Yarrowia lipolytica: one gene and its partners. The protein of the gene in region 1 purifies or fractionates together with the protein of each later gene. This does not show direct contact. Links are inferred from orthologs where the notes say so. Each region holds a gene or a part of one and is shown on either strand. Other genes may lie near its edges. The genes, in order: YALI1_B19388g, YALI1_D14329g, YALI1_D16656g and YALI1_F11781g.

What was found.
Region 2: the proteins of YALI1_B19388g (region 1) and YALI1_D14329g purify together in Saccharomyces cerevisiae (affinity purification with mass spectrometry; 3 studies listed by BioGRID). This does not show direct contact. The link is inferred for Yarrowia lipolytica from reciprocal best matches to the Saccharomyces cerevisiae genes KRE33 and BFR2.
Region 3: the proteins of YALI1_B19388g (region 1) and YALI1_D16656g purify together in Saccharomyces cerevisiae (affinity purification with mass spectrometry; 3 studies listed by BioGRID). This does not show direct contact. The link is inferred for Yarrowia lipolytica from reciprocal best matches to the Saccharomyces cerevisiae genes KRE33 and UTP14.
Region 4: the proteins of YALI1_B19388g (region 1) and YALI1_F11781g purify together in Saccharomyces cerevisiae (affinity purification with mass spectrometry; 3 studies listed by BioGRID). This does not show direct contact. The link is inferred for Yarrowia lipolytica from reciprocal best matches to the Saccharomyces cerevisiae genes KRE33 and NOP14.

Annotation. Positions count from the first base shown.
Region 1 is NC_090771.1:1,935,231-1,940,485, reverse strand, and holds YALI1_B19388g (uncharacterized protein), read left to right. Parts: upstream 1-1,646; coding exon 1,647-4,718; downstream 4,719-5,255. Other genes in the region: YALI1_B19390g (uncharacterized protein), read right to left, coding at 1-417, 1,230-1,449; YALI1_B19348g (uncharacterized protein), read right to left, coding at 4,807-5,255. UniProt on the Saccharomyces cerevisiae protein: RNA cytidine acetyltransferase with specificity toward both 18S rRNA and tRNAs. Catalyzes the formation of N(4)-acetylcytidine (ac4C) at positions 1280 and 1773 in 18S rRNA.
Region 2 is NC_090773.1:1,430,921-1,434,749, forward strand, and holds YALI1_D14329g (uncharacterized protein), read right to left. Parts: upstream 2,042-3,829; coding exon 554-2,041; downstream 1-553. Other genes in the region: YALI1_D14304g (uncharacterized protein), read left to right, coding at 1-412; YALI1_D14333g (uncharacterized protein), read left to right, coding at 2,394-2,915; YALI1_D14391g (uncharacterized protein), read right to left, coding at 3,046-3,829. UniProt on the Saccharomyces cerevisiae protein: Involved in endoplasmic reticulum to Golgi transport. Involved in a protein-transport step blocked by brefeldin A, which disrupts the Golgi apparatus and its incoming protein flux. May also be involved for mass growth or cell proliferation.
Region 3 is NC_090773.1:1,662,239-1,667,507, forward strand, and holds YALI1_D16656g (uncharacterized protein), read right to left. Parts: upstream 3,422-5,269; coding exon 509-3,421; downstream 1-508. Other genes in the region: YALI1_D16609g (uncharacterized protein), read left to right, coding at 1-163; YALI1_D16672g (uncharacterized protein), read right to left, coding at 3,953-4,984. UniProt on the Saccharomyces cerevisiae protein: Involved in nucleolar processing of pre-18S ribosomal RNA.
Region 4 is NC_090775.1:1,175,128-1,179,771, reverse strand, and holds YALI1_F11781g (uncharacterized protein), read left to right. Parts: upstream 1-1,626; coding exon 1,627-4,125; downstream 4,126-4,644. Other genes in the region: YALI1_F11787g (uncharacterized protein), read right to left, coding at 315-745, 980-1,037; YALI1_F11729g (uncharacterized protein), read right to left, coding at 4,427-4,644. UniProt on the Saccharomyces cerevisiae protein: Involved in nucleolar processing of pre-18S ribosomal RNA. Has a role in the nuclear export of 40S pre-ribosomal subunit to the cytoplasm.

The DNA of each region.
Region 1 (5,255 bases):
CCACTCGCAGCACAAAATAGAGACATTGGGCGTTCTCGTGAGGACCACTAGCGATGTACACTGGGCCTGTAGGGTACGGCGGGGTCATTGGAACGATGGAATGCTCCACAATGTCGAACGCAGCACACAGTGACATATAGTTACGTCTGTAGCAGATCCAGCTGCCGTTCTCCTCTTCGAAGCCGCGATCCAGCCGCGCATGAAGTCTGATGGTGGCTGGTGTACCATCTGCGGAACAAAGTGCCACTGCCTGCTGAGCACTCACGAAGGGAGGACCTGTCTTGTAGAGCGACTTGGATCGGGGTGCAAGCTTCGGGGTGGCTGCTGGGGGCGACGACAATGGTGAAAGGGCAAGTCCCGAGTCTCGCTTGTTGACACGAGTGGGAGACGTCTCAGGCGATGAGTCCAATCGTCGTTCTGTGTTAGTAGGAAGTGGGAGATGAGGGGTATGAAGAGGTTACAACTAACTCGCTGGTATCATGATATTGCGTCTGGGTATCGAGATCAATCAAAGTGGGGGTATCAATATTAATTGGGGGTTGCGGGGGCTCGTGTTGTGTCGGGGGCGTTGTGTTTGTGGCCAACTAGTTGCAGTAGGGTGGGCCGTGACACAGAAGGAAGGTGTTGGTTATAAATATGCATAGGTTAATTGGAGTCACCTGTTAGGGTATCACTGTACATACTGTACATACAGTACAGGGTGGGTTCCAAGTACAATCAAATGGGCCCACAATAACTAAGTACCACTGAATATCAGTAGTCGCAGAAGGTCAAGACATACCAGTGATTGGTCTACTGATGCTAATTAGTTGTAAACAAGCTGCACCAGACTGATCATGTTTCAGCGCGGACCTTGTAGTTTTCTTACAACCCTACACCTCATAGAATAGACATTCCTTCATTACCAACCGTGTATATTTACAGAAGACTCAATAAGTTATTTGTCAGCAGCAGCGACATAGAGGACTGTGTTAGTGGTGTTATATATCATCTTTGTTGAATCTGTAATAGATGGGATAACTCGAGAAGCCCACAAGGCCAGTTGGTCGTCTATTCGCCTCAACTAAGCCGTGGGAATCATATTAAAAATCGATTCACATTCATATGATCAACGGCATTGAAGCCCACGCATTAATCTGAAGGCGATCGTGCTTATAGAGCTGCTGTCGTGATCCCCACTTCTTCTGGCCCAACCTTTACATTATTCCAAATGCCACTTTTATACTCACCATTGTTTCCTCGAATAAAAACGTCATCATCATAGATACCGACGACCTTGTCATCAACCAGCTCCTCAGCGTTCTCCAGAACAATGCTCATGTATCCATCAACAGACTGGAGGACGCCAGAGAAAGTGGTGCCGGTGGAGACCCGAACGTTGACCTTCTTGCCCGAAATCTCGCCCAGGAAAGACGACGGGTCGTATCGGACCTTATCTGTGGAGGACATTATCTGTTGTGTAGGGATGTTTTTTTCTTTGGTGGTGATCAACTTTTGGTTCGTGTGCCATGTTGAACTTACAACAAGGTGCCTTACCCTACCGGATCATGCAGGATCATGCAAGGCCTAAAAAAATTCTGGATTTTAGACAAAATTTAGATAGAGAAATTCGCCTGCAGGAATCCAAGTGAATACACACACTCACAATGGGAAAGAAGCAAATCGACCCCCGAATTCCGGCTCTGATCCGAAACGGAGTCCAGGAAAAGCAGCGTTCTTTCTTCATCATTGTTGGAGATAATGCGAAAAACCAACTCCCCAACCTGCACTACCTCATGTCGTCCGCAGACATTCGAATGAACAAGTCTGTTCTGTGGGCCTACAAACACAAGTTGCTGGGATTCACCTCGCACAGAAAGAAGCGAGAGACCAAGATCAAGAAGGAGATCAAGCAGGGCATCCGAGAGGTCAACCAAGAGGATCCCTTTGAGCTGTTTGTCTCTCTGCAGAACATTCGATACTGCTTCTACAAGGACACTGAGAAGATTCTCGGTAACACCTACGGCATGTGTATCCTGCAAGACTTTGAGGCTCTGACCCCTAATCTGCTGGCCCGGACTATTGAGACTGTCGAGGGTGGAGGTATTGTGGTTATGATGCTTAAGAGCATGGCCTCCGTAAAGCAACTGTATACTATGACCATGGATATCCACTCCCGATACCGAACTGAGGCCCACAATGATGTTGTTGCCCGTTTCAACGAGCGATTCTTGCTGTCTCTTAATGACTGTCGAACGTGTCTCGTTGTTGATGACGAGCTCAACGTTCTCCCCATCTCGGGAGCCAAGACAGTCAAAGCTCTGCCTCCTCTTGACGAGGACGAGGATGTTCCTGAGAACGTCCAGGCTCTTCGAGACCTTAAGGATTCTCTTGCTGACATCAAGCCCACCGGTGACCTGGTTAAGATTGCAAAGACTGTGGACCAGGGTAAGGCTATCCTGACTTTCATCGATACGATTGTTGAGAAGAACCTCAAGAGCACAGTTGCTCTTACCGCTGGCCGAGGTCGAGGTAAGTCGGCTGCTCTTGGTGTGGCAATTGCTGCCGCTGTTGGCCAGGGCTACTCCAACATCTTCATCACCTCTCCTTCCCCCGAAAACTTGAAGACCCTCTTCGAGTTCATCTTCAAGGGATTCGATGCCCTAGGATATGAGGAGCATGTTGACTACGACATCCAGCAGTCCACCAACCCTGCTTTTAACAAGGCCATTGTCCGAGTCAACATCTTCAAGTCCCATCGACAGACAATTCAGTACATTGTCCCTGGCGACTCGCATGTTCTGGGTCAGGCGGAGCTGGTCGTAATCGATGAGGCTGCCGCAATTCCGCTCCCCGTTGTGAAGAAACTGCTTGGTCCCTACCTTGTCTTCATGGCTTCTACCATCAATGGTTACGAAGGTACTGGTCGATCTCTATCTCTTAAGCTGATCCAGCAGCTGCGAGAGAGCTCTGGAAAGACTCAGATGGGCCGAACTCTGCATGAAGTTGTGCTGGATGAGCCCATCCGATACGCTCCTGGTGACCCCGTCGAGAAGTGGCTCAACAAGCTGCTGTGCCTCGACGCCACTATTGCTCCCAAGGCCAAGAATGCTGCCACTCCTCACCCTGACAAGTGTCAGCTTTTTGCCGTCAACAGAGACACTCTCTTCTCCTACCATGCGGTCTCTGAGGCATTTTTGCATCGAATGATGGCTCTCTACGTGGCATCTCATTACAAGAACACTCCCAACGATCTGCAGCTGCTGTCCGATGCTCCCGCTCATCAGCTCTACGTTCTTCTGGGCCCCCAGGAGGGTAACCAGCTTCCCGAGCCTCTGGTTGTTGTCCAGGTTGCGCTTGAAGGTGAGATTTCAAAGGACAGTGTTCGAAACGCCTTGTCTAGAGGCCAGCGATCTAGCGGTGACCTGATCCCCTGGCTCATGTCCCAGCAGTACCAGGACGACGAATTTGCATCTCTCTCTGGCGCTCGAATCGTCAGAATTGCCACCAACCCCGAGTACATGGGTATGGGCTACGGTGGCCGAGCTCTGGACTTGCTTCAGGATTACTTTGAGGGAAAGTTCACAGATATCTCCGAGCGAACGTCTCTCGAGAACCAGTCTATTGTCCGAGTTACCGACGCAGAACTTGCCAAGGGCAAGCTGACCGATAAGATCACGGTTCGAGACGCTGCCTCCATGCCTCCTCTGCTGAACAAGCTGTCCGAGATTCCTCCCCATCGACTCAACTACATGGGTGTTTCTTACGGTCTTACCAACCAGCTGCACAAGTTCTGGAAGCGAAACGGCTACGTACCTGTATACCTGCGACAGACAGCCAACGAGCTCACTGGTGAGCACACTTGTGTCATGCTTCGAGGTCTCAAGGGTCAGGACGACTCCTGGCTCGCCGAGTTCTCCAGTGACTTTCACAAGCGGTTCCTCACTCTTCTTTCTTTTGAGTTCAGCTCGTTCACCGCTTCTCATGCTCTATCACTTGTGGAGTCTGCCAAGTCGATGAACAAGAAGGAGAGAGTTCCTGTCACCAAGGCCGAGCTTGACCGACTCTTCACTCCCTTTGATCTGAAGCGACTCGAGTCCTATGCCAACAACCTGTTGGATTACCACGTCATTGTCGATATGCTTCCTGCAATTGCTACAATGTACTTCCGAGACCAGTTCCCTGCCAACATCAAGCTGTCTATTGTTCAGTCTGCTGTTCTGCTTGGTATTGGTCTTCAACGAAAGGACATGGACAAGATGTCTGCTGAGCTCAACCTGTCTGTTTCTCAAAACATGGCGATGTTCTCCAAAATCATCCGAAAGGTGTCCAATTACTTCCGAGAGGTGCTCTCTTCTGCCATCGACGAGCAGATGCCCAAGCAGCTTCATGAAGATGTCCGAGAGCTGGATGGCGAGGAGGATATGTTTGGCGAGGTCCAGGAGGATGTTACTGACGAGCTTGAGGAGGCTGGAGATGAGGTGACCGCGGCTCTTAGAGAGAAGCAGCGAGAACTCATCAATGCCTTGGATCTCAACGAGTTCAAGATCAACGACGATGACTGGGAGGGAGCCAAGAAGGGGGCTTCCAAGGCTGCTACCGGCAAGGCTGGCACAACTCTTGCTGTGCGCAACAGCAGCAAAGAGAAGAAGCGAAAGGCCGAGAGTGTCGATAGCATCTACAAAGAGGAGATGAACGCTCTCAAGTCTGCCAAGAAGAGCAAGAAGGGCAAGAAATAAACTAATGACATATAAAAACTGATAGATTTATTACAATGTATGTACAATTAATTAAGTAGAGTCACGATTATAAATATGTGCATGGTCTTTACTCAAGATCGTAATAGTCCAGAATGACATCAAACACCCAATCAAGAGTCTCGGCCACGTCGAAATCGGTGGTGGGCACGATTCGGATTCCTTCTCTGGTGGCGTCCTTACTGGGTTCTCCGTTGGGATTTTCGTTTTCAAACAGCTGTTTGTGGGTCTTTAGGTAACCGGGCCAAACAATGTTGTGGAAGTATCCCTCAGGATCCTTCCAAAACCCTTCCAGAGTGACGTATCCGGATCGAGCTTCTCGTCGAGACTTGAGGTTTTCGTAACTGGATCTGACCAGAATCTTGATATCGAACAACTCGGTGAATTGAGCGTCATGGTAGACCATGATACCATCCAGAATGACAATCAGCTTGTTCTCAAACTCAGGCATGTAAGGGTGCATTCGACGCTTAAAGGCGTCGACAGCGTTTTCATCAAGAGCAGCGGGTCCCAGGGAGT
Region 2 (3,829 bases), on another chromosome or scaffold:
GGTGCTTTCGGCTGATGACGCGGCCAAAGAGACACAGAAAATGTATGATGAACATCTGGACAAAGCCAGATACCACCAGGACCTGTCATATAAGATGAGGAACAGGTTCAGAGGTCAAAAACGCGCATTGGAAGCCCAAGACCAAAGAGACAACCTTCTCAAGGACAAAATGGGACTTCTGCGGGATCTACCTCTTGCTAAGGAAGCGCAAGTGATGGTTCCTCACCTGGAAAGGGGTTTAGTGGCGGAGCAAGAACTCAGGTTGAAGTCTCTATCCCACGGTGGACTGTTTGATTCTACCAAGCAGAAAGGATCACTTGCACAACAAACTAGAGAGCTCTCCAGAACGCTACAGTCTAAGCCACGGCCGAAATTGAAACTCAGAGGGATCAAGAAACCGGCCAAACAATAATGCCAGTATATACTGTACTTTTACTACTATTTATTCTTATTACACTACTTAATACGCCCTGTATACTCTTCATTTTCATTTGGCACCTGCCTCTATTATTAAAGTACATCTACTTAAAACCCCATGCTAAAACCACTGATACTAACCAAAGATTCGGAGACCGTCGTCGGGAATAACCAACTCCTGCTCCTCCTTTTCTTCCTTTTCTTCCTTCTCCTTCTCCTCTCCATCATCGTCCTCGTTGAAGTTGACTCGCTGCCCCAGAAGACCGGCAAACAGCTCGTCGATCTGATCGTCCTCCCAGGTGAAAACCGGCCGGGGAGCAGCAAAGTTCTGCACCTTGTCCTGCACATGGTATCGCAGCTTTCTACCCTTGGATGCTCTTGTGTCCACGTTCTTCTTGGTCTTGGCCTTTGTGGCAGTCCAGGTCTTGACGCCACTGCTTTGAGAGCCGGAATCCACCATTCGTCGGTCAATCAGATCCTTGAGTAAGTTTCGGTAAAAGTCTGAGTCATCAAAGATGTAGTAGTTTTCGCCCTCGGCGTCCTGAATGGCGCCCATCTGTTCCTCGCCAAGAATGACAACGTTGGATCGATTCATTCGAGTTCGCTTGACAAGTCGGTCCATGTCCGCCAGAGTAGCAGCGACCTGGTTGGCAGAAGACTGGTTCAGAGCCTTGAACTTGGAGGAGTTGAGAGCGGAGGCCGCAGATGAGGCCTGCACCTTCTGAGACCACTTGCTCAGCACAGAAGTCTCGTATGCCTTGAATTCTGTATCCAGCTTGTCCATGTTATCCAGAGTGGCATCAAAAGTTCGCTTGGTCGATAGCTTGACGGAGTCGGCAGCAAACACATTGTCCTGCACAGCCATGTTGTGTCGCATCTTGGCTATTTGGGAGATGAAGTCCGACAACTTTGCCTTTGTGTCTTGAAGAGTGTTGGTGATGTCTTCACCGAGCTCCTCGGCCTTAGTATCGCTGATAGGAAGAGCGTTGGCAGACTGGACTGCCTTTTGGAATGTGATTCGCGCGTCCAGAAGTGTCTCGTATAGATCGGTCTGTTTGTGAATGGCGAATCCCTTTTGTGCGTCGGAAACAATAGCCTCCTTGGCCTGCTGCTTGGACGCCTTCTTTTCCTCCCTCAGCAGCTCCTTGAGGGTGGCTCTAGCCGAGCTGTCATTCTCGTTCTCAGACAGCTCTTCGTCAGACTCGTCCTCATCCTGCTCATCCTCCATGTCTTCATCTCCGTCTTCGTCCTGGTCCTCTTCATCAACCTCAACTTCGTCGTCAATGAAACCATTGCCTTCTCCCTCCTCATCGTCCTCCTCATCGTCCTCGTCGTCCTCATCAATGAAACCGTCAGCGCCATCGCCGTCCTCGTCCTCGTCGTCATAAAGAGCCTTCCTGCTCACCTTGCCGGCCTTGTACTTGGGGTTTAGAGCAGGAGCATCATCTCGCAGCTTGCTCTTGCCGACCTTGACATAGTGCTCTGTCGCTAGATCACTGTCGTAATCCACGTCTCCACCGCTCTCGGAACCATCGTCACGGTCCTCAAAGTTCTCGATATCCACATCCTTGGGCTTGGGGTTAGCCAGTTGAGAAATCTGCTCGGCCAGAGATAATTTCGCCATGTTTGTGTACTGTTTCAAGTCGAGCCTGCACTCTGTCAAACTGTAGTCAAAAAAAATTCCAGACCTGCCAAAATTTCGCTATCTTGCATATGCAGGGTAACCCATGACGAGCTGGACAGTAGGCAGAGACTAGCCCAGGAATGAAAGAGATAAATGAGACGGCGGCCACAGTGGTGATATCATAAGATGTTGATTGGTCATACTGTTGCTCTGGAACACAGAAAAATCTCTCCATTCACCACTCCTCATAACCTGATCCCAGCATCCCTCATGCCTGTCTCATGCACCTTTCTTCCAAGTTATCCAAGCTCCCTCCATACACACCTGCCTTCCTCTCAAGAACCACATAGACATGGCCAAGCTGCCGACTAACTGGAAGCAAAAGTACCTGAAATCACAGGCCGAGGCGCGCACAAAAAAGGTGTCGGCGATATCGCCCATGGAGGTGCGAAACGGAACGAAAAAGTCGCTGCAAAAGGCCCTGGCAGAAGCCGCCGACGAAGACGAGGAGGACGACGAAATCTCGACTCAGGTGGCAAACGAGGTCGAACAGCGACTCTTTGACCTCTACGGAATCTCGCCGGAATACAAGTCGGCCGTCCGAACCCGCCTGGTGAGTTTAAAGAGTAAGAACTCCACAATAGCCGTGGAACTATTGTGTGGAGCAATTGAGCCTCAGGCGTTTGCTGAATACACAGTTGAGCAACTGAAATCGGACCAGCGCAAAAAGGAAGAACAGGCCCTGAAAGATGAGAACCTCAGACAGGCAACCATGGAGAAACCAACCAAGGAAGATATCAACATGTACAAAGACGGACGAGACCGAGAAAAGTGGGGAGTGTCTAGATCGGCTGCTGCCATCGATGATGATTAGAGAGAGAGAGAGAGAGACACACACACACACACACAAGATGGTTGTGTGATAGGGCTAACTTATAAGTTGCAGGCTGTGTTTTGTACAAGTACTGTATTTCTACGTGTAAATTATTAATAAATCATAATCCTTATTCAGGTGCCGAATATTCTTCATCAATGGTTATGACACCATTGGAACCAGTCGACTTGCTCTTAGGCGTATTCTTACCAGCCGGCTCGGCAGATGCGGACTTTTCCTCCTCGGCAAACTTGTCTGTCTTTTCCTCCTCAGCAGACTTGTCCGATTTGTCCTCCTCCGCAGATTTGTCAGCTTCCCCTTCTGCTTCGGGCTCAACAGTGGTCTCTGTGTTGCCTTGGTTAGCATCGGCCATCTCTACATCCGAGTCCTGGGTAGATTTCTCAGGCTCCTCGGTGGGCTCCTTTTCTTTCTCCTCCGAATTGGACCGAGTGCCACTGTTGCTTGAGGAACCATTACTGGAGGCCACAGCTGGAGGACCCTTGGTCGTCACGAGCTTGATGTTCTCACCCACCTTGTTGGAGCAGGCCTTGATGAGATTGGTGGCCCGCAGAAGAATATCCTTTCGAGTAACCCGCGTCTTCTCTTTTTTGCCATCTTCCTTCTTTCCAGCAGTGGTCGCTGTAGTAGCAGGAGCAGGAAGAGCAGGAGGCTGGGCACTGCCTGGCTGAAACTCAAACTTGGCTCCATCAAGAACCACTGGCGTAGATGAGCGGCTCTTGTTGTCCGCCAGTAGTGAAGTACCAGCGTATTCAATGAGCATCTTGAGATACAGACAAACAACTGTGTCATCCACTACACCTGTGGATCCAAAGCCGTTGTTCAGCCGTCTGAACTCAGATGCATAGTACAGCAAAGACAGCAGATACGAAGCCGGCTCCTTGCTCTTGGTGATC
Region 3 (5,269 bases), on another chromosome or scaffold:
AGGCGTTACCAAGGCCAAGAAGAACGAGCCCACAACCTCGTTGTCATCCATGGCCCAAAAGTCCAACGAGGAGGCTTTGTGGGGCGCTCCCGCTTCTTCGTCTTCTTCCACTCCTGCTCCTGCTTCTAAGCCTGCGGAGACCGGCAACCTTTTGGATCTGTAAATGTGGCCCATGTAGACATGTTAGACCAGTAATGAATAATGATTTGATGAATACGGAAATGGAAATGAGTGGCCGAAAAATGGCAAACATATAGACGGGAACCAAAGACATTGTAACGCAAGTGTGACTTTGTTCAGTGTGTGCATTCTACCCCAGATAGTTTAACAAAATGTTCAACTATATTACTCCGATCAGTAGATGAGAATGAGAGTGTACTGTACCAGACTAAAGCACTCAAAGTCATAGGCATCGATCACTAGCACACTACGTGTGTGCATACTTCATAACACTTAAATATATACCAAGCCTCTATATATGGCTGACGAGATTTTAGAATGAAGGACACTACTTTTGAGGAGCATCCAGAGGGTTGATGATAGCTCCGGGCTTGACAATGACTCGGGGCTTGATGAGCTTCTGGTGGGTAGTCTCCGTGGTCCACTGCTGGCCCATGGGCATCTTGAGGTAGGCCTCGTACTGCTCGACAGACTCGAAGGGATAGGGGACCGACTTGACCTGGTACTTGTCCGACTTTTTGTCCGACTTTTCCGAAATGATCACGTTCTTGAGATCTCGATCCTGACGCTTCTCGACGGCCACACCCTGGATCTTCTTGACAAACCGCTTCTTGGGCGCCTTCATGCCCTCTCCTCCCCAGCCTCCCCACCCGGGCAGGGTCATGTCGATTTCCTGATCTCCTTCGTCGGCGATTCGCTGTCTCTTTTCGGCCATGAACTCTTCCTCGACGATATCGTCTCCTGCAAAGGCCCGCTTGATCATATCCTGCTTGAAAGAGATACCCTTGTCAGTGTCGGCCTCTCGATCCTGAGTCACGAGATCAAGAGTATCGGAAGTGTCAATGAGAATGTTATCTTGCTTGCGGGCCTTTTTGCTCTTCGCACTCTCCACCACCCGGCTCTGATGCTTGGCCACCTTGTGGGCCAGCCGGTCTCGTGCAGAAGCCTCAGCCTCCATCACAGGCTTGACCTTGTTGCTCTTGTGGATGTTGGTTTCGGTGAACCAGGGGTTGGAGGCGTCGTCATCTGAATCAGAATCGTCGTCCTGTGCACCTCCTTCCTTCTTTTTGTCGCTCTTGACCACAGTAGTCACGTTGTCGTTATCTCTGTCGTCATTATCATCCTCATCATCATCAGACTGAAGATCAGCCTTTCGCTCAGAGTCAATCTTGACAGCAAGCACATCGGCAATAGACCGTTTGGTTCCGGGCGCGTACTTTCGTCGACCCTGGTTGAGAATCTCGTTGGCAGTGTCAACTCGACCTTCGTCCTCGTCGTCACTCTGCCCAAGTTCCCAGTTGGCCTTGGCTCGATCGAGCTCCTGGATTCGCTGCTGGTTCTCCGTCTTCTGACGAGCCTCAGCCTCTCGCATGAACTTCATGCCAAGCAGACCCTTGCCCAGATTAGCTCCCTCAGCAGGCTCATCAGGATCAACCAGAGCGTCTCTGTTCTGGGACAGAAACTGGTCGTCGCCCAGATTAGAGTCAATCTGCTCGTCGCCATCGTTGTCGTCCCGAGCAGACATCTTCTTTCGCAGACTTTCACCTCGTCGAAGCATCTCCTCCATCTCTCCTCGAGTCTCGGCATCCTTGGTCAGACCCTGCGATACCATTCGCTTGGCCCACTTGCCCTGGTTCTTGTGCTTGAGCGACATTCGCTCCTGAGCTCGCTTGATGTCGTGGTCCTCCTGGTCACTCTCCTCGTCGGACATCATGGCGTCTCGGAGCCGTTCTCGCTCTCGCTTGTGGATCTTTCGGTACGTTTTGGACTTGATCTTCTTGATTCGCCGCGCCTTTTGCTCCTCTCGGAACATTAGCTCTCGCATTCGTCGAAGCTCGTTTCGTCGGGCAGCTAGCTCCTCCATAGACATGTTTTTGGTGGCCAGCTCCTCAAACTTTTGTGCCTGCGACTCGTCGGCAAGAGCAGAAGTCTTGAGGATACCGGCAATCTTCTTCTCCATAGCACTCTCGGGGGCCAGCGCAGAAATACCGGTGTTGGGCAGCTGCTTGGCCTCCTCATCAGAGTCGTAGACGGGAAGACGGGGGAAAACCAGATGCTCAGCATCCTCGTCCTGGGCAATCAGGTCGTCGAACTTGGTCAGCTCCTCTCGCGTCAGATCAAGAGCTGCCTTACGTTCCACCTTGTCCTGGAGACGTTTACTGAGAGGCACAGCCACATGTTGGGGCTTGTTTTTGGACTTGCCGTCGGGCTTGCCAAGAAGAGACAGACTAGCAGCTGCCTTCTTGTCCACACCTGAAGTCAGGTCCGAAAGAGACAGCTTGCCATCATTGTTCTTTTTCGACACTGTCACGCCAAACTCATTTTCCTCTTGGTTGTTGTTCTCGTATCGTCGTCGTTTCTCGTACTCAGCATCCTCGTCGTTCTCGTACATGTTGGAAATGAGAGATCGAAGCTTGTCGGCCTTCTCCTCATCAAACTCGGTATCGATATCGGAAAAGACAGATCCGTCCGAGTCCTCCTCATCAGAGTCGTCGTCACCGTCATCAGAATCGTCGTCGTTATCAGAGTCGATCTCCTCTCCGTCAGAAACGTCCTCGGAATCCGCATCCTGTTCCTGCTCAGATCCTCCCTCCTCAGACTCATCATCTCCATGTGACTCGTCATCCTCCTCCTCCTGAAGATTGAAAGAAGTGGTAGCCTTGGTCTTTGAGCTCTTCTTTGCATCCTCCTTTTGGGCAGCCTTCTCACCGCTCTTCTTCTTGAGGTTCTCCTGCTGACGATCGTCCAGATCCCAGGCCTCGGAAAGATCCACAAACTCCTCCTCGTCCACAGAGTCGTACTCGTCCTCCATGGCCTTGAACTTGGCCTTGGCCTTGGACTTGACGCCGAAAGAGTCCAGAATCTCCTCGTCGCCGTCGTCAGAGCCAAACGCCTCGTCAGAGTCGATTTCCGAGTCGTCTTCCTCCTCCTCCTCATCGCCAGGCTGATACACCTTTCTAGTTCCGTCCTTGTTGAACCGAACAATACCGTCATCGTAAACATCGTCAATGTCGTGATCCTCGGAGTCGTCGGAGTACTCCTCCCCGTTCTTACGGGCCTTCTTTCGCTCCTCAGCCTCGGCGATTTCAAAGGCGTTCAACAGAGCATGCTTGCCTCGAGACTTGGGTACGGGCTTGGAGGGCTCGGTTTCGTTTTTGTACGACGTGGCTCGCTTGGACGAAAACACCTTGCCGGCGGTCGTGGTTCGCCCGGACCGGCTGCTTTTGCTTCGTTTTCCCATACTGTGTGGTTCTGAAAATGGATGGCAGAGATATATCGCTCCGTGCGTCTTACAATATTTTTTTAGACTTTGGCAAAACTTTATGCACGGTTTTTCTACACCAGTGGTGACTGGCGGGACTGGTACTACTTGTAGTAGAAGAGGACACACACTTTTAGTAGACAAGGCGGAGATTTTTTGAGATATTGATGAATGCTCAGAAGCCACCTTTTACAGACCATAAACTCGTTTACATGATAAGAATTGCCTATGGGAAGAAAAGGAGGGTGATAGTACTGTTGTTGCAAGGCTGGGCACTACACGCACACGATTCAATACGAAGTGGAGACAAGCCCCTTGGTGGCGATATACTTACTCAAAAGAAATGCCACATGATATTGTTTTGCTGCTACAGACATTTCTTTTCTTCCCGTGCCATCGGTTTTGGCGTTTCTGAACTCTGGATCGTTCCTCAAACAGTTGGTGATCCCAGACTACCCTCCTTCTGCGCCATGTTCATCTTAGCATATAAGTCTATCAAAACTATCCTATTTACTCCTCGTAAACAATTTCCTTTTCCCAAGAATCGTCATACTCCTCCTTCTTGTCCTCCTCAATCTCCAGATCGGAGGGCAGCTTGGCGTACATCTCCTGAATGTGCTGCACCACCTCTGGGTCGCAAGAAGCCTCGCCAAATTGCTTGGTTTGCTTCTCGTACAGCTTGGAGGCTCGCTGGAAGGCAGAAGCTGCGGCTACAGCGTGTGTAAGGTCCTCCTTGTCCTGCTCCCAGGCCGTGAAAGAGGCCAGGCCAGCCAGATAGAAACCCTCAATCTCCTCATCATTGAGATCGTGGATTCGAACCGACGCCTCCAGAGCCTGCTCAAGCATGCCCATCTCAATGAGCATCTTAGTCAGTTGCATGATGGAGGGAAGAGAAGGCTCCTGGTCCACGGCAAAAATCTCCCATGCCTTGGCAAGAGCCTCCTTGGCCTCCTCATTCTTCTGCTGACTGATTCGCACGCTGGCCACCACGGCCCAGCTCTCGGCATGCTCATTATCGGTCTTGATAGCTTCCTCCATCAGGTTGACACATTGGGTCTCGGCCTCTTCCTCCATGCACAGGTCGGTCATCCAGATTTCGACAATTCCACACAGCGTTTCGCACAGCTTTCGCTTCTTGTATGCGAGTGCCTGCTTGGTGTGGTCGGAGTCCTGGTCCAGCGACCCCGAACCCAGCTTGTGCTCGTCGTTAGCAATGTCCTGTTTGAGGCCCTCAATTCCCTTGTTGTACCACTCAATGCCCTGTCTGCCTCCGACCAGCTGGCCCAGCCACAGAAACTTCTCGTAGCCGCCCTTGGATCCGTCTGGATCCGCGTCGGCCGCCATTTTGATGTGATTGTACGCCTGCTCGGGCTCTCCGATTTCCAGTAGAGCTTCTCCTAGTAATTGGAGCGCCAAAAGATCGTCTGGGGCCGTGGACAGGTGTTTTTGCAGCTTCTCGATCGCCATGAGAGGCTGGCTCGTCGCCATGTACTCCTGAATCTTGCCGTAGTCCATTGTAGATGTGTAGTTATGGGGGACCATGGACGTTGTGTTCCGTATGCATGCTGTAACAATTTTTTTGAGTTAGGTTTCCAGAGGCGAATAGTGTGATAGAGCGAGGACCTCGATGGTGGTATTGTAGAGAAATGTGTGTGTGTTTTTGGGGAGGTGAGTCGGTTTACAGTCTCGATTTTCGGTATTTTGACCTTTTACCCCCCATTTTTACGTATTTCGTAGAAAATCAGAGAATTTCGGTCAGATATATTTGTTCAAGTACAGGCTAACTAAGATACTGATAGTAGATCAAGTTTTACGAAAGGTGTACTT
Region 4 (4,644 bases), on another chromosome or scaffold:
CACTACAAGTAGCCCGTCCCATACAAGTACTTGTACATGTACAATTGCGCCACCTAACAAAGATACATATGCCAACATAGAAGTCCCGCAGTCGTTCTGAGCAGACAAATCTGGGTACAGTACTTGTACAATCACTTGTAGAAAGGTCGAAATGAGTCCACCATATATATTCAAACCCTTACCCTACTCATCTATAATACTTGCCACGTTACACACAGTACTCGTACCAAAAACTACTTGTACTAGAGGTACTCCTAAGCCACAGCTTATACAACATGCCCTAGGGCTATTTTATTAAATGCATGTCAATACATCTATTCGACGTTGTCCTCAAAGTTCTCAACGAGGTTGGGGATCTCGTCGTCACCGGCCTCCTTGGCGGCGTCAGGGCCGCCGGCAGTCTTCTTTGCCTGCTCCTGGAGCTTGGAGAACTGAACGGCGGCCTGCTGCAGCTGCAGAAGAGCATCCTGGCCCATCTGGGGGAGGATATCAGGGATCAGCTCAGCAATGTCCTTCTGCTGGGAAGGACCAGAGATAGCAAAGGTGTTGGAGGCGACGGAGCCCTCAACGTGGACCTTGGGGAAGTGCAGCACGGTGCCGTCCTCCTTGAACATGTTGACCTCAGAGATACCGGTGATCTCCTGGGCGTTGAACTTCTTGAGGGTGGCGGACAGCTTCTTCTCGTCCTCAGAGATGTTTCGGCCAGCAACCTTCTTGCCGGGTCGTCGGGGAGTACCCTTTCCACCTGGGTTAGTACGTGTACGTTGAGAAACGTTGCGATCGTACCCGGACACGGGTATTGACGGGCGAATGGCTCACAGGATGATCAATCATTGTCATCCCAACTCGATCAAGGCCACCCCGCATCCTTCCATGTGATCGTTTATGAGTTCGATCTCGTTTGTATCCATTTTTTCCGTCCATTTTTCCACGCAGCGGTTTCGGACAAATCCAACGCCGCCAATTCAGAGATACTCACCGGACTGGGCACCGGACTTCTTCTGGAGAGCTGCGAGCTTAGCGGGATCAACAGGCATTTTGTGTGGTGTTTTTGGTTCTAGCAAAAGCGACAGTGTATATCCAGTGCAAGTTTTTTGTCATCCGCGTGCTCAGATATACAGTTCGGCATCAAGCCCTACCCAGTTGGGACGAACCGAGGGTAACCACTCAAGAGCAGGTGCAACGAGGAGGCCGCTGCGGTCACGTGACCGCATTTTTGCGGGCGACCCCCGGCCATTGGGATGGTCCCGTGTTGGCGGGTGGCCTTTTTTGGTGCTATTTACCCACACATTTACTTGTCTGGGGCGTCTGTCCTGTCTCTTCCCTTCAGGTTTTGGGATTTTGAGGGGAACAAGCATTCACCTTTTTTAGAGTAGCTAGCTACCCCAACCCGTGAAGTTTATTCCGGGAGACTTGGGGTGGAGTTTTGCGGAGGATACAGCTGTGGTAGGCAAAGGGGGGAGTCTCCGTTGTGTTCAGCTGGCCAAATTGTCCAGATAAATGTTTTCCACGAAATTTTTCAGACAGGTTATGAGCTGCAAGGTTAAAATATTTCCCGAGCTTATTCAAGATATTTTCAAAGTCAGCATCTCAGATTTCAACCCACAATCCACAACACCGTGAACGATGGCCAAAACGAGTCAGCTCAAGCGGCTCAAGGAGACGCTCAAGAAGAACGATCTGACGGGCCAGACTAATGTCAAGGGCAATAAAAAGAAGATGAACAGCGGCAAAAACCGCCAGGACAGAGACAAGGTGCTGTCTGACATCCGGCAGCAGTTCAACCCTTTCGATGTCAAGGTGGCCAGGAAGAAGCATGATATTGGAGGCCGAACCGTACGGGGCAGTGTGGGACGACCTGGACTGTCCAAGCTCAGTGGCGAGGAAGCCCGTATGGAGGCTCGAAAGCTGGAGTTGCAAAACAAGGGACGGGTTGGAGGAGTGTTTGACCGGCGGTTTGGAGAGGGTGACTCCAACATGAATCCCGAGGAGAAAATGCTGGAGCGGTTTACGCGGGAGCGACAGCTTCGGTCGATGGGTGGTGGTCGAAACAAGTCGATTTTCGCTCTTGACGATGACGATGACGACGCCGACGCTGATATGATGCTGACTCACTCTGGTCAGGCTCTTGATTTCAAGGACGATTTTGATCAGGGCGATCTGGGTATTGAGGCCGAGGAGGACGAGGAGATGGCAGCCATTCTTGCCAACCGACGCAAGCTAGCAGAGGAGCGGGGTATGGGTGCTATGGGAGTCAATCTGGAGGAGATGGACGGAGTTGATATGGAGGAGGCGGGCACTGGCCGAAAGAAGAGCAAGGAGGAGGTCATGAAGGAGATCATTGCCAAGTCCAAGTTCCACAAGGCCGAGCGACAGGCAGCTCGTGACAAGGACCAGGCGATTATCGAGGAAATGAACGACGAGGACACCATGAATGCTCTGATCCGGGAGCTGGGATCTATCAAGGCCAAGAAGGTGGTGACAGCTCTGGACCAGAAGGAGAAGGAGTACGACCAGAACTTCCGAAACATGATTCTGGACCGTCGAGCCAAGCCTCAGGACAGAACTAAGACTGACGAGGAGCTGGCCAAAGAGGAGGCTGAAAAGCTCAAGAAGCTGGAGGATGAGCGACAGGCCCGAATGCGAGGCGAGGTTGCCATTGACCAGGGCGAAGGCGATGATCTGGACGGCAATGTGGCGTTTGACTTTGAGAATTCCGAGGAGGAGGGTGAGGATGATGAAGACGAGGCCGAAGATGATGATGATGAAGATGTTGAGATTCATGAAGTAGATGAAGACGAAGATGAGTCTGGCGATAAATCTGGTGATGAATCTGGCGAGGAGGAGACTACAAAGTCCGAGCCAGCCTCAAAGTCTTCCTCCTCCACTCTAGCATACACATTTCCCATCCCCAAATCACACAAGATGTTCTTGGAGACCACATCGGCCTACCCTCTGGACCAGCTGCCCACCATCATCGACCGGATCAACGTTTTGCATCACGCCTCGCTCAAGGAGGGCAACAAAGAGCGTCTAGCCAAGTTTGCATGCGTGCTCATCGACCATCTCATGTACCTCGCCGACGAAGAGGAGGAGGACGACTTTGAGTGTTTGTCTGAAGTCGTCGCTAAAGTGCACACTTTGGCGGAAACTCACAGTCCTACTATGGCTGCTCACATCAGAAAGAAGTTGGAGGCTCATCAGGCCGACACTACAGTTACGGCCGGTCATCTCATGCTGTGGACTTTGATTGGCATGATTTTCTCCACGTCCGATCATTTCCACCTGGTTGTGACGCCTGCGGTGCTCGTTATGACCCGTTTCCTGTCTCTGTCCACCTTTGACTCCATTCCCAAGTGCATTGCCGGGCTGTACACCGCCCAGCTGTTGATCCAGTACCAGCGAATTGCCAAGCGGTTCATTCCCGAGATTGCCGTCTTCCTGGGCCGTCTGATTGCTGCTCTGGAAGGCACTGAGACTTCTCTTCCCATGGCTTCTCTTTTCAAGATTGCTCCTATCAAGGGTTTCACTCCTGGTAAGGCTTCCCACAAGTCTACCGATAAGACCATCTCAATGAGATCAGCCAACCGATCCATTCTGAGCAAGAAGGAGGTGGCCACGCTATCTCAGGAGCTCCATAACCAGGCCGTGTTTTCCGTCTCCAAGCTCATGGACACATACAAGGACATTTCAGCCTTCCCTGAGACTTTCGAGTTCTGCGAGAACATTCCCGAGCTTGCAGACAAGTATAGCCGAATCACCAAGTTCAAGTTGGCTGACCGAAAGCCTCTCACTCTACACAAGCACCGACCCCTGGCCATCAAGACCATGGCCCCCAAGTTCGAGGAAAACTTCAACGTGGACAAAAAGTCGTACAACCCGGATATGGCGCTACAGGAGACCCAGAAACTTCGAGCCGAGCTCAAGAAGGAGAAGAAGAGCGCGCTGCGGGAGATCCGAAAGGACGCCGCCTTCGAGGCCCGAGAAAAGATCCGAGAACGACGAGAGAAGGACGACGCCTACCACGAAAAGATGGCTCGACTGGTGCGATCTGTGCAGACCGAGGAGGGAGCCGAAAAGAACGCCTACGAGAGAGAACGGGCCAGCAGAAAGCGAAAGCGATAGATGCAGAGCGGAGATATATAGAGAATTGTTTATTGTTGCAAGTAACCACTCGCTTCGCTCGTGGTTGCTGGTTGTATTCGTAGATGTAAGACGAGTAGAGTACTTACATAGATACTAGACACTTGAAATAACGGTTTCATTTGCTCACATCATTTACTATTGATATACATAGTCGGTGTATTATTCGTCTCTGGCGCAGCGTCCAGGAACTGTTTGATGAAGATGTTCATCTACAATAGATCTACTTCGATTTGCCTACAGTCCATTCATCTCACACAAGTCAATAAATAAATGCATTAAGTCAGGCGCCCAGGTTCATGTTGTCGGTCTTCTTGTAAAACTGGTTGAGCATGTCCACCACTCGTTCCTTGTCCTTGGGCTGCTCGTCATTGTCCATGTCTCTGTTTGAAGTCGTCTGATCTATGAACGACTCGTCGACATCGAAGTTGATAAGATCTCTTCGAGGAGCGGCTCCGGTGGCTGTTCCTGATGTGGCAGTAGTAGCCGTGGGAGCAGCAG